2 separate regions of the Mus musculus genome follow, and region 1 is reported to be linked to region 2. Evidence: microRNA targets listed by miRTarBase, many of them from high-throughput screens and not tested one by one. Region 2 holds a microRNA gene; the other region holds the end of a gene's coding sequence.

Evidence for each region. Region 2 holds the annotated microRNA mmu-miR-296-3p (GAGGGUUGGGUGGAGGCUCUCC, at 3,354-3,375, shown strand). A microRNA usually pairs through its seed, bases 2 to 8, with sites in the 3' UTR of a target mRNA and lowers its output. Matches are read on the target gene's strand: a 7mer-m8 pairs with bases 2 to 8, a 7mer-A1 pairs with bases 2 to 7 and ends in A, and an 8mer does both.
Region 1: the mRNA of Tnf is a reported target of mmu-miR-296-3p. The part of its 3' UTR that is shown has no 7-base or 8-base seed match.

Annotation. Positions count from the first base shown.
Region 1 is chr17:35,195,573-35,200,572 of GRCm38, forward strand. It overlaps Tnf (tumor necrosis factor), which reads right to left. Exons shown (of 4, transcript NM_013693.3): 4 at 3,795-4,991. The coding sequence ends at 4,573. It overlaps Ltb (lymphotoxin B), which reads left to right. Exons shown (of 3, transcript NM_008518.2): 3 at 132-733. The coding sequence ends at 574. Among named protein-coding and RNA genes, the nearest start is that of Mir6973a, 3.1 kb to the left of the region's middle.
Region 2 is chr2:174,264,917-174,270,432 of GRCm38, reverse strand. It overlaps Mir296 (microRNA 296), which reads left to right and starts at 3,308; the gene lies at 3,308-3,386. Mir298 (microRNA 298) reads left to right here and starts at 2,848; the gene lies at 2,848-2,929.

The DNA.
Region 1 (5,000 bases), not on the chromosome of region 2:
CCTGCCCCTCCCCGCTAAGTACCACAGAAGGAGGAAGACCCCGCTCCTCCGCTCCAGGTCCCTGCTCATCCTGCCCGGGTCTCCGACCTAGAGATCACGGCCCGAGCGCTCACGCGTGTCCCTTTCTGCAGGCGCTTGGATGAGTGGGCAAGGGCTCAGCTGGGAGGCGAGCCAAGAAGAAGCGTTTCTGAGGAGCGGCGCGCAGTTCTCCCCCACCCACGGGCTGGCGCTGCCACAGGACGGCGTCTATTACCTCTACTGCCACGTCGGGTACAGGGGCAGGACGCCCCCTGCCGGCCGAAGCCGTGCTCGCTCGCTCACGCTGCGCAGCGCCCTGTACCGCGCGGGGGGCGCCTACGGGCGAGGTTCCCCCGAGTTGCTGCTGGAGGGCGCGGAGACAGTCACACCTGTTGTGGACCCCATCGGGTACGGGTCGTTATGGTACACGAGCGTGGGGTTCGGCGGCCTGGCGCAGCTCCGGAGCGGCGAGAGGGTCTACGTTAACATCAGTCACCCCGACATGGTGGACTACAGGAGAGGGAAGACCTTCTTCGGGGCGGTGATGGTGGGGTGACAGCCATCTGTATTCATTCCTGGAGGATCGACTGACGGTGCGAATGTGTGAATCGTGATGTCCGGGACCCCGACAGTCCCGAGCGGCCGGGGGCGTGGCGGGGGGGGGGGAGAACGGAATGTAGGACACGAATTTTGAAAATAAAGAATGTAAACTATGCCGGCCCTTGCCAGTGTCTTCACGGAAATGCAGACGTGGTTTTTGATTCTGGGACACGTGCAGGTGTGGCTGACCCAGCTTTGAACTGTGGACACCTGTTGCACCCACGTCCTGGCTCTAAGGCCAGGGCTCCAAGAGGGCGGAAGAAGGGACAATTAAACCCTGAGACTTCTGCCAGCACCCTGATTGCCAGGATGCTGAAAGGTTAGGGAGGTTGGTTGAGGTTTGTTAGCAGCTGCGGGTCGGTCAAAGAAGAAACGAAAGGAAAGATATTAGACTCACGGATTTTCCTAATCCTTATTTCTATCCTATCTAGTGTTAGGGGGTGAAACCAGGGCGAGAAAGGGTGGGAGAAAGAATCCACAAAGTAGCAAAGACCTGGTCCCCACAAGACCCCCTCACATACACCCTTGCTCCTGGCTTCTGCCTCTGTGAGGAGGAGCCAACAGGAGAAGGTAGGCAGGATTCGTTCCCAGAGAGAAAAACTACAAAGACTGTGGAACAAAGCTCCGTGGGTTGGGCCCATCAGTTCAGTTGGGCCTGATAGGTTATATGTATGTAGTATGTATGTAATGTATGTATGGATGGATGTATGCTCTATCTATCTATCTATCTATCTATCTATCTATCTATCTATCTATCTATCTATCTATCTATCTATCTATCTATAGTCCGGGTCTCATATATAGTCCTGGGTCACCTGGAACTCTCCAGGGCTGGGGCTAAAGGCATGGACCACCACGGGTTCTGACAGCCCTTCTTTAAGGGGCAGCAGGTCAGTCGCAGGCACGTTAAGGGGCAGACTAATGAAGAAAGCAAAGGAGCTGAAAATGGCAGGGGTGGGGTGGGGGAGGGGATTGTGTCCGAGGAGGAGGAGTTCCAGGAGGAAGCCGATGCCCTGGGGTCCTTTCTAGAAATGGAATGTCTTCACCTTTGGTTCACACAAAGTTGGGCAAGTGGGAGGCCCCTACGATGAGTAACAGCAGCCCCCCCCCCCCCACGCCATGGCTGGAGGAGGCAGAGGGGGACCCAGGCACTATCTAGGTCACCCCAGTGGGTCACCCCTACCCCCCACCCCACCCCAGCATACCACGTGGTTGGTTTTTCCCTCTCTACACGGGTGCAGGAAGGCCCAACCAACAAAGAGCCCACTGGGGTTTCATTTTCTCTTCTCTTCTCTTCTCTTCTCTTCTCTTCTCTTCTCTTCTCTTCTCTTCTCTTCTCTTCTCTTCTCTTCTCTTTTTTAAAAGATTTATTTATTTATTATATGCAAGTACACTGTAGCTGTCTTCAGACACTCCAGAAGAGGGAGTCAGAAGACTTGTTACGGATAGTTGTGAGCCACAATGTGGTTCCTGGGATTTGAACTCAGGACCTTTGGAAGAGCAGTTGGTGCTCTTAACCACTGAGCCATCTCTCCAGCCTCTTCTCTTCTCTTCTCTTCTCTTCTCTTCTCTTCTCTTCTCTTCTCTTCTCTTCTCTTCTCTTCTCTTCTCTTCTCTTCTCTTCTCTTCTCTCCTCTCCTCTCCTCTCCTCTCCTCTCCTCTCCTCTCCTTTCCCTTCCCTTCCCTTCCTTTCCTCTTCTTTTCTCTGTTCTTTCTTCCTTCTTTCCCTTTTTCTCCTCCTCCTCCCCCTCCTCCCCCTCCTCTTCCTCCTCTTCTTCCTTCTCTTCCTCTCTCTCCTCTTCCTTCTCCCACTGACCTTGAAGCCCTCAACAATTTACCTGCCCCTACCTCCGAAGTGTTGGGATTAAAAGCATGGCTACACACCCACTCCTTATGTGCTTTGGACCTTCTGCACAGAGCCTTCCAGTGGGGTGAGAGGGTGACCAATTTTGGCTAAAGTCTAGTCAGGCTTCAGAATCTTCTATACCTAGTCATTGCCTTCCTTGTAAAACCTAGTTTTCGTGAAAAGCCCCATTCAGTCGGTTTAGCAAGCTCCCTCTCCTAGACTGGATCACCCTCAGTCATCCCGTGCAGCCCCTGAGGTGATGTCTGCTCACCTGGCCTGTCTCAACAGGCGTCTTGTCTGATCTGTTTAGACAAAGTCCCCCTACCCCGGATTTTTCTTTCCTCTTAGTCATTTGCCATCCCCCTAACGCCCACCCTGCTGGGGCTCTTAAGACCCACTTGCTCTCATTGAACACTCTACAACAAGTCTCTGCACCAATAACTAATTCTGAATAAAGTCGGCCTTGCCTGCTTCAGCAAGTACTATTGAATAACAACAACAATAAATTATTATTATTATTATTATTATTATTATTATTATTGGTGTTGGGATCAAATCCAAGCCTGCATATGTGATTAAGTAATTTAAAAACCAACAACAACAACAAAGCATTTAAACAAGGTGTTTTTCTCTTTCCAATCCACCCACCTCAATACATTCATCATTTGTCTGAAACACTGGAAAACCAAAGCCAGCAATGGCTCCTTCTTTGTTGTGTTGCTTTGGGTTTTGAATTCAGGGTATCCCATACACTGAGCATCCACCCTCACCCCAACATGCTCCACAGAGTCACATTTTCAGCCCTGTGTCTTTTTAAAAACTATTTCACTCATCTTCAGAGGTTTGGAAAAATAAAGGGGCTGGTGACCGAAAGGCAGAGCTGGCTGAGCCCAGCCCAGCATGGAGCAGGGATAGAGCTTAGGTCTCCTCTCCGTGGACCATGCCCGCTCTGTCTGTTCAGAGGCAGGTTGAATGGTGCAGGGTGCGCAGTTAGACACCTGAAGCTCTGCGGCTCTTCCTTGGCTGTGATTCAGGTGCCTGAGAATGTGGCTCCTCCCCAGCTCCATGGGAGCCACAACAGCCGGAAAGAACTGCAGTACTTTCCCAGCAGGTATTGGAATTCCCAGAGTGGGAAATTCCCATGCCCCAGGGCAAAGGTAATTAGGGTTAGGCTCCTGTTTCCGGGGGAGAGGTAGGGATGTTGGCTGCCTTTTGTTCCACGGGGGTCTTGGGGGTCTTAATGGCCCAGGGGTATAAAGACTGAGATCTGGACCCAGAGACTTTAGGCCTCCGCAAAGAGATGGATGCAGACTTCATCCCAAGACAGAAATCACATTTCTTTTCCAAGCGATCTTTATTTCTCTCAATGACCCGTAGGGCGATTACAGTCACGGCTCCCGTGGGGAGCAGAGGTTCAGTGATGTAGCGACAGCCTGGTCACCAAATCAGCGTTATTAAGACAATTGGGTTAGATAAATATTTTGTTTTAAACATAAGCAAAAGAGGAGGCAACAAGGTAGAGAGGCCAGGTGGGGACAGCTCAGCTCCGTTTTCACAGAAAACATGTCTGTCTGAAGACAGCTTCCCACACTGGGTCCTCCAGGACACCCCGGCCTTCCAAATAAATACATTCATAAGCAAATAAATAAATAATAAATAAATAATAAATAATAAGTGCAAATATAAATAGAGGGGGGCTGGCTCTGTGAGGAAGGCTGTGCATTGCACCTCAGGGAAGAATCTGGAAAGGTCTGAAGGTAGGAAGGCCTGAGATCTTATCCAGCCTCATTCTGAGACAGAGGCAACCTGACCACTCTCCCTTTGCAGAACTCAGGAATGGACATTCGAGGCTCCAGTGAATTCGGAAAGCCCATTTGAGTCCTTGATGGTGGTGCATGAGAGGCCCACAGTCCAGGTCACTGTCCCAGCATCTTGTGTTTCTGAGTAGTTGTTGAAAGCTCTGAGCACAGAGTTGGACCCTGAGCCATAATCCCCTTTCTAAGTTAGAAGGATACAGACTGGGGGCTCTGAGGAGTAGACAATAAAGGGGTCAGAGTAAAGGGGTCAGAGTGGGGGCTGGGTAGAGAATGGATGAACACCCATTCCCTTCACAGAGCAATGACTCCAAAGTAGACCTGCCCGGACTCCGCAAAGTCTAAGTACTTGGGCAGATTGACCTCAGCGCTGAGTTGGTCCCCCTTCTCCAGCTGGAAGACTCCTCCCAGGTATATGGGCTCATACCAGGGTTTGAGCTCAGCCCCCTCAGGGGTGTCCTTGGGGCAGGGGCTCTTGACGGCAGAGAGGAGGTTGACTTTCTCCTGGTATGAGATAGCAAATCGGCTGACGGTGTGGGTGAGGAGCACGTAGTCGGGGCAGCCTTGTCCCTTGAAGAGAACCTGGGAGTAGACAAGGTACAACCCATCGGCTGGCACCACTAGTTGGTTGTCTTTGAGATCCATGCCGTTGGCCAGGAGGGCGTTGGCGCGCTGGCTCAGCCACTCCAGCTGCTCCTCCACTTGGTGGTTTGCTGAGGGGG
Region 2 (5,516 bases):
CCCTCCTTGTGGCCCCTTAGTAACCTGTGGCTTGTACCACAGAGTTAGGCAATTGCCATGGCAACAAAACATCTAAGCTGTCTGTCCCTGGGCCTCCCTTCACCCCAACTGAGTAGGGCCTAGCCTGGCATAGAGAGGATAGAAGTCACCAAGAAGGTCCTGGTATCTGCAGCTTGCCTCTCTCAGCATATGAGCAGACAGGGAAGGAGGCTCCTGTGTTCATCTCTACCCTATGTCTCCTGGGTTCCCTCCATTTCCTTCTCCCCGGCTCAGTCTTGCTTCTTGGGAAAAGGTATTTTTCTTGGAAACAGTGAGACTTGGTTGATCCCTATCTCCCAAGGCCTAAGTCCTGTGGGCTTCAGGATGGCACTGTGTCACTATGTCGCTGTGTGAGTTGCTTATTGCTCCAAGCTCAGCCTTAGTAATTCAGAAGGCCTCATTCTTATTGACCTGTTTGTAGAGTCTGCAGCGCAGAGGCCTAGGCCTTGGGGGACTACGTGTTCATTTAATTCACTTCAACTTCATGGCAACTAGAGAGAAGCCTAGCTGCAGCCGAGCTCCCAACTTGCCGAGGGCCACCTCGCTGAGGAGTAGGAGTCAAGCCCGCTTCTGACTGAGGGGGTAGCTGGTGTCCAGAGCCTATTTTCCAACCCTGGCGGGCACTGAAAAGCCTTTTGAAGGGGGTCCAAGATGATACTTAGGCTGAGCTGAGTTTAGGCCATCAGAGACCTCGGTGCAGCAGAGCTGTGAGGGAGATAGCCGCTGGGGCTGAGGGCATAGGTTTGGGATGAGCTGGCTGGGAGCTATAGGAAGGCACATAGGAGCACACTTAACAAGCACTGAGGGCCACATGTGAGGTGTCTACTTGGAGGAGTGGCTCGTGGCTCCTAGCTGCCCTTGCAGGGGCTCTGGTACACTCAGGAGTCAAGTGGTTCTTCATGTGAGCAGAAGCTGAGGGGTGACTGGGGCTGATGGAGGTCTGAGCTACCCTCGAATGAGGATTTGGGGCAATGTTCACCGAAACGGTCAAGTCAGAGAGGCTTTCTCTGGGGCCTCTGACAGTGTAAGCAAGAGGCACCCTCCCTCGTACTTGTGGGATCTTCAGCTCTTTTGCAACTCAGCCTGTAGCTAGGGATGGGTCTTTGTAGTCTGCTGGACAGATAAGACAGACATCCACCCCAAGTGAAGATACAGAGCATCCTCTCTCCTTGCAGCTGAGAGCTGGACTGAGTGCTACACAGTTTTGAAGGAACAACTCTAGAGTGTCCTTGAAGATGATGGGGCCCGCTTACAGTAGCTTCTCTCGCAGCACCTCTAAAGTCACCAGCTCACCTTCTTGGCAGCCTGGAGAGCTACGTGTACCTCCTGGCATTTCTCTGTTTTCTGAGTGATGGGAAAGGGGCTTATATGGCCAACACTTGGAGCCACATCTCTAGCCGCCAAGTCAGATGTATTGGGAACAACTGCACAGAGGGGAGAGGACTCCGCAAAGGGCTCACACTAAAACTGTGCTCTTCCTCTGGGGGGAGGACTTCAGAGGGAGTACAAAGTACCTCAGCCCCTCACAGCTTGGTGGTGATGCACCCCTTTTCTGAGAGCCACTTAGCGCAGGATTCCTGTGACCCTTCTGTGCTGAGCAGCTCTTGGGCCTGACACCATCCCCAGCTGTCCCAGCCTTGTTACCTATGGGTGCCTGGGTTGGTTGTCCATGTTGATGGTTGGGATCAAGGGTGGGTGGGTGTCCATCAGATGTGTCTTTCTGTGATGGGCCTCACTGTTCTTCTGTTTGCTTCTGCCTCCCACTGTTGCTCTACTGCACCCGTGGGAGCATGATGGCTCTGCTCCGTCTCTCTTCTCTGCTCAACCAAAGAGTTTCAGAAAAGAGAAAGGAAGCCTTTTCTGAAGTCTCTAGACTTGATTTCTTGTCCTCAGTGCTTGCCCTGGCTGAGGGCCCCGTACAAGTGAACTCTGGGAAGATGATTTGTCTAGGGTCATGGACAAAGGCCTTAGAAGATGACTTCCAAGCCTATTTCGTTAACGACCTGCATTCATTAGAAAAGGACCTGTGTTTTCAAAAACATGGCTCTTGTGTCTCACATGGTCAGACAGTAGCCAAAAGATTGCCCATAAATATGTCTTCTGATGGCTGTTTGGCTACTAGGACAGAACCATTAAGTTGAAGAGCTTAAAACTATGACCTTAGCGGCTGTGTGTCTGTTTTGTTTATGTCTTAACATTCCCTACCCCATCTCTCTGTTCTAAGCACCTCTGAGCTCTCAGCACAGTCCTGCCTTTGAAGCCTTGTGTGATGGGGAGCCTCAAGGATTGGAGCCTGCACTTCTTCAGCTGCTTCTGCTGTGAGCACAACATTCAGTCCTGAGGAAAAGGTTTGCTAAGTAGGAGAACTTGGGGGTTCTTCCTCCTCAGGTATGGATTGATTTTTCACCTCACAGAGACCCAGTCAGCACCCATGGGGTGGGGCATTTGAGTTGGGAGGTGGGTCTTGCTGGAGCAGAGGCCCAGCAAGGTGGATCCTTCTTGGAGCGTGGGAATCTACAGGGCTGCTTAGAAATGGTTTGATTGGTTCATAATGGCACCTTGATAGAACAAGAGGGTTTACTGTACAGGATACTTGCCACACCATGGCCCTCTTTGTGCTACTACATGCAAGTGAGTGAGTCCATTGGATGGAGTGGTCATAGACAGATCTGGCCATGAGATGAGTGTCTCTGGACCCCCACTAACTAGCTCCTGCCCAATTGACTGCTTCCTGAGCACCACAGCTATTTGAGGTAGGCTGGGACGTTCCTGCCGTGCTTGAAAGAGACACCAAGAGGCATAAGAGGCCCAGGCCTTTGGCAGAGGAGGGCTGTTCTTCCCTTGAGTTTTATGACTGGGAGGAACTAGCCTTCTCTCAGCTTAGGAGTGGGCCAACAGCTTCCTTCCGATCTCCAGGAGAATGTTGCTGGTTGACACACGGAACTCATCCTCTAAGTTCCCCCACCCATCAAGGTAGCTGGTGGAGTCAGAGATAGATGTTTCTAAAAGCCATGGAGAACTTTGAGGTCTTGTCATAATGCCCTGAGCCTACTACTAAGACTGCCACCTTCCCATTGTCGATGCAGTGGCTTCTGAGCGCACGTAGCTGGGAAGCGGGTGAGCGGGCCAAGATCCAGGTTAGTGGGCATTCGAGACTACAGAAAGAGACCCTCCTAGGGTCTTGGGGTTGGGGAGACAGAGGCAGGGCCCCTAAGAGGGGATCTCCATCTGTGTGCACACAGAACAGCCTATGTGGAAGGTGACAAGAGGGCCTTTCTGGAGGGCCCCCCCTCAATCCTGTTGTGCTCGCTTCAGAGGGTTGGGTGGAGGCTCTCCTGAAGGTGTCCGCAGAGCGTCGCATGGTAAGTAGTCCCTTGGGGCTCTAGAGAATGCTTGCTGTCTTTGGCTTGATCCCAGTGGCAGCCTCTGCTAGACTAGTCCTGCCCCCCAGTTAGTGCTCATGGGGTACCAGAGACCTGACCCCACCCTGTCTGCTCTAGGCTAATAGTGCCCTGCTTCCCTGGGCTTGTACCACCTTGTGTAGTATCTCCCTACTCTTCTGTATCCTTGGCTGGGAAACTTGCTTCCTAGCACCAGACCTTCCTTGATGTGGTTGTTTGCTTTCCTTTCACTTATCTTTTCTTTCCTACAGGAGTGGGATGGACATCAGTCAGATCCACACCGGTCTTCATGGCAGCCCCCCTTTTTTATTTATTTATTTATTTATTTTTGAGACAAGATCTCACTGAATTATCCATACTGGCCTTAAAACTTGGAATCCTTATGCCTTAGACTCCAGCATTTCTGGCATAAACTGCTGTGTCCAGTCTAGAAGGCATTTTGGTGAACCACCCCTGTAAGACTGAGCTGGGGGGGGAGGGTGTCAGGCACCCAGTTTTGAGTTACTCACACCCAGCCTCTCCCAAGTGTGACACAGTATCTGCCTAATAAATTCACGAAGAAAGATTGTTTGGTGTTGTTCTCATCTGTGCTCTGCGCTCTACCCAGCTCTGCCTGGTGTGCCCATCACTCATCCCACTTCACCAGCTTGCTTCTAGCACACACCTGGCTTGATCTTGCTTCTTAGTGTCTCTTCCCATTAATTAGATTTAACTCAACTGCAAGAGGGCTGGAGCACCTTTCATTTAGAGTACAGTAAACTCTGAATAGAGGGAGGGCGGGAGGGAGGGAGGGAGGGATGGGGGGTAGGAGGGGGAACAGATGAGTGTGTGGATAGATGCGCGGGTAGGTGGGTGGATGGATGGATAGAGAGACATTGAAGAAGATTCAAACCAATAGTGCAGGTTAAGCACTAAACAGGGAGTGAAGGCTGTGAAGCCCAAATGGGAGGCTGTGTATCAGCCGTCTCGTGAGCAGAAGCTAGAGTAAAACCCTCAGATATGAATTCTATAAACTTCAGTTCTCTTCCTTTGGGAAGCCCCAACAAGCTACTCACTCACCAGCCATAGGCCGCTGTCCTCAGGCCTGCTGTTTCTGCTTTTCCAACACTCCTCTGCACTGAGCCTCCTTCTTAGTGTTACCTGCCACTCATCTTCCCACCCTCTTCCTTGTCTGTAGCCATTGTCTTGACAAAGAGGTAAGACTCTCCTGGCTGTGTTACTAGTGGGAGAGAATGGTTGGCATCAAGAACTGCAAAAATCACCACATGTGTCAGGAGAGACTCTGGGAGAAAACATAATTGGATAAGGGGCAGCTGCTCTCTGAGCAAGGATCCCCTGGGGTCCTTAGCTCTAGTCATGTGTACCCTTGGCCTGGCCACTGGTCTCATGAGGCTGGACTGAGATTCTGGGGGCCTCTTGAGCACGAAAGGAAGTGAATTCCCATGGCTTGTATTCACTAGATTCCAGAAGCCACTACCCCCATCCTGTCACAGCAGAAGCTTTTTAGACCTTGTCCCAGATCATACTGGGGACAAATGACTGACTCTACTGGGAGATCATGGTGTCTGTTAGCTGCACTGATTTTTTTACCTAACTTAATTACAAATTAATTCAAAGGAAACAAAATACATATAGCATGTGGGTTGTCACCTGTCTTCAACTCTGTCTAACTATCCTGCTGCCTGGGACAGTTAAGTATGAGAACCTGTGGCCTAGCAAAGGTTCCAGTGGTATAAGGAAGTCTCCCTTCATTCACAGACAGACAGACAAAGTAGGTAGGACTCACCAGGCATGCACACGCATGGCCATGTCTCTCCCTGTTCTACCTAGACTTTGGTGCAAAGACCATTTACTAACTAAGGGATCCAACTTCTGAGGAAGGAAATGGGTGGTTCTTAGTACTACTGGATGAACCTGGAGCATGGATGTGCTGTTGTAGAGCTCAGAGTGACCTAAGTTTGATGGTAAGTGCTACCAAGAGTCAAAACTGAGCAGTTGAACCAATTGTTGTCCAGGATTATAACCCAGCATTTAAATGTCTGAAACTCGCTGAGAGGTTCTGCTCCCTGCCTTCCA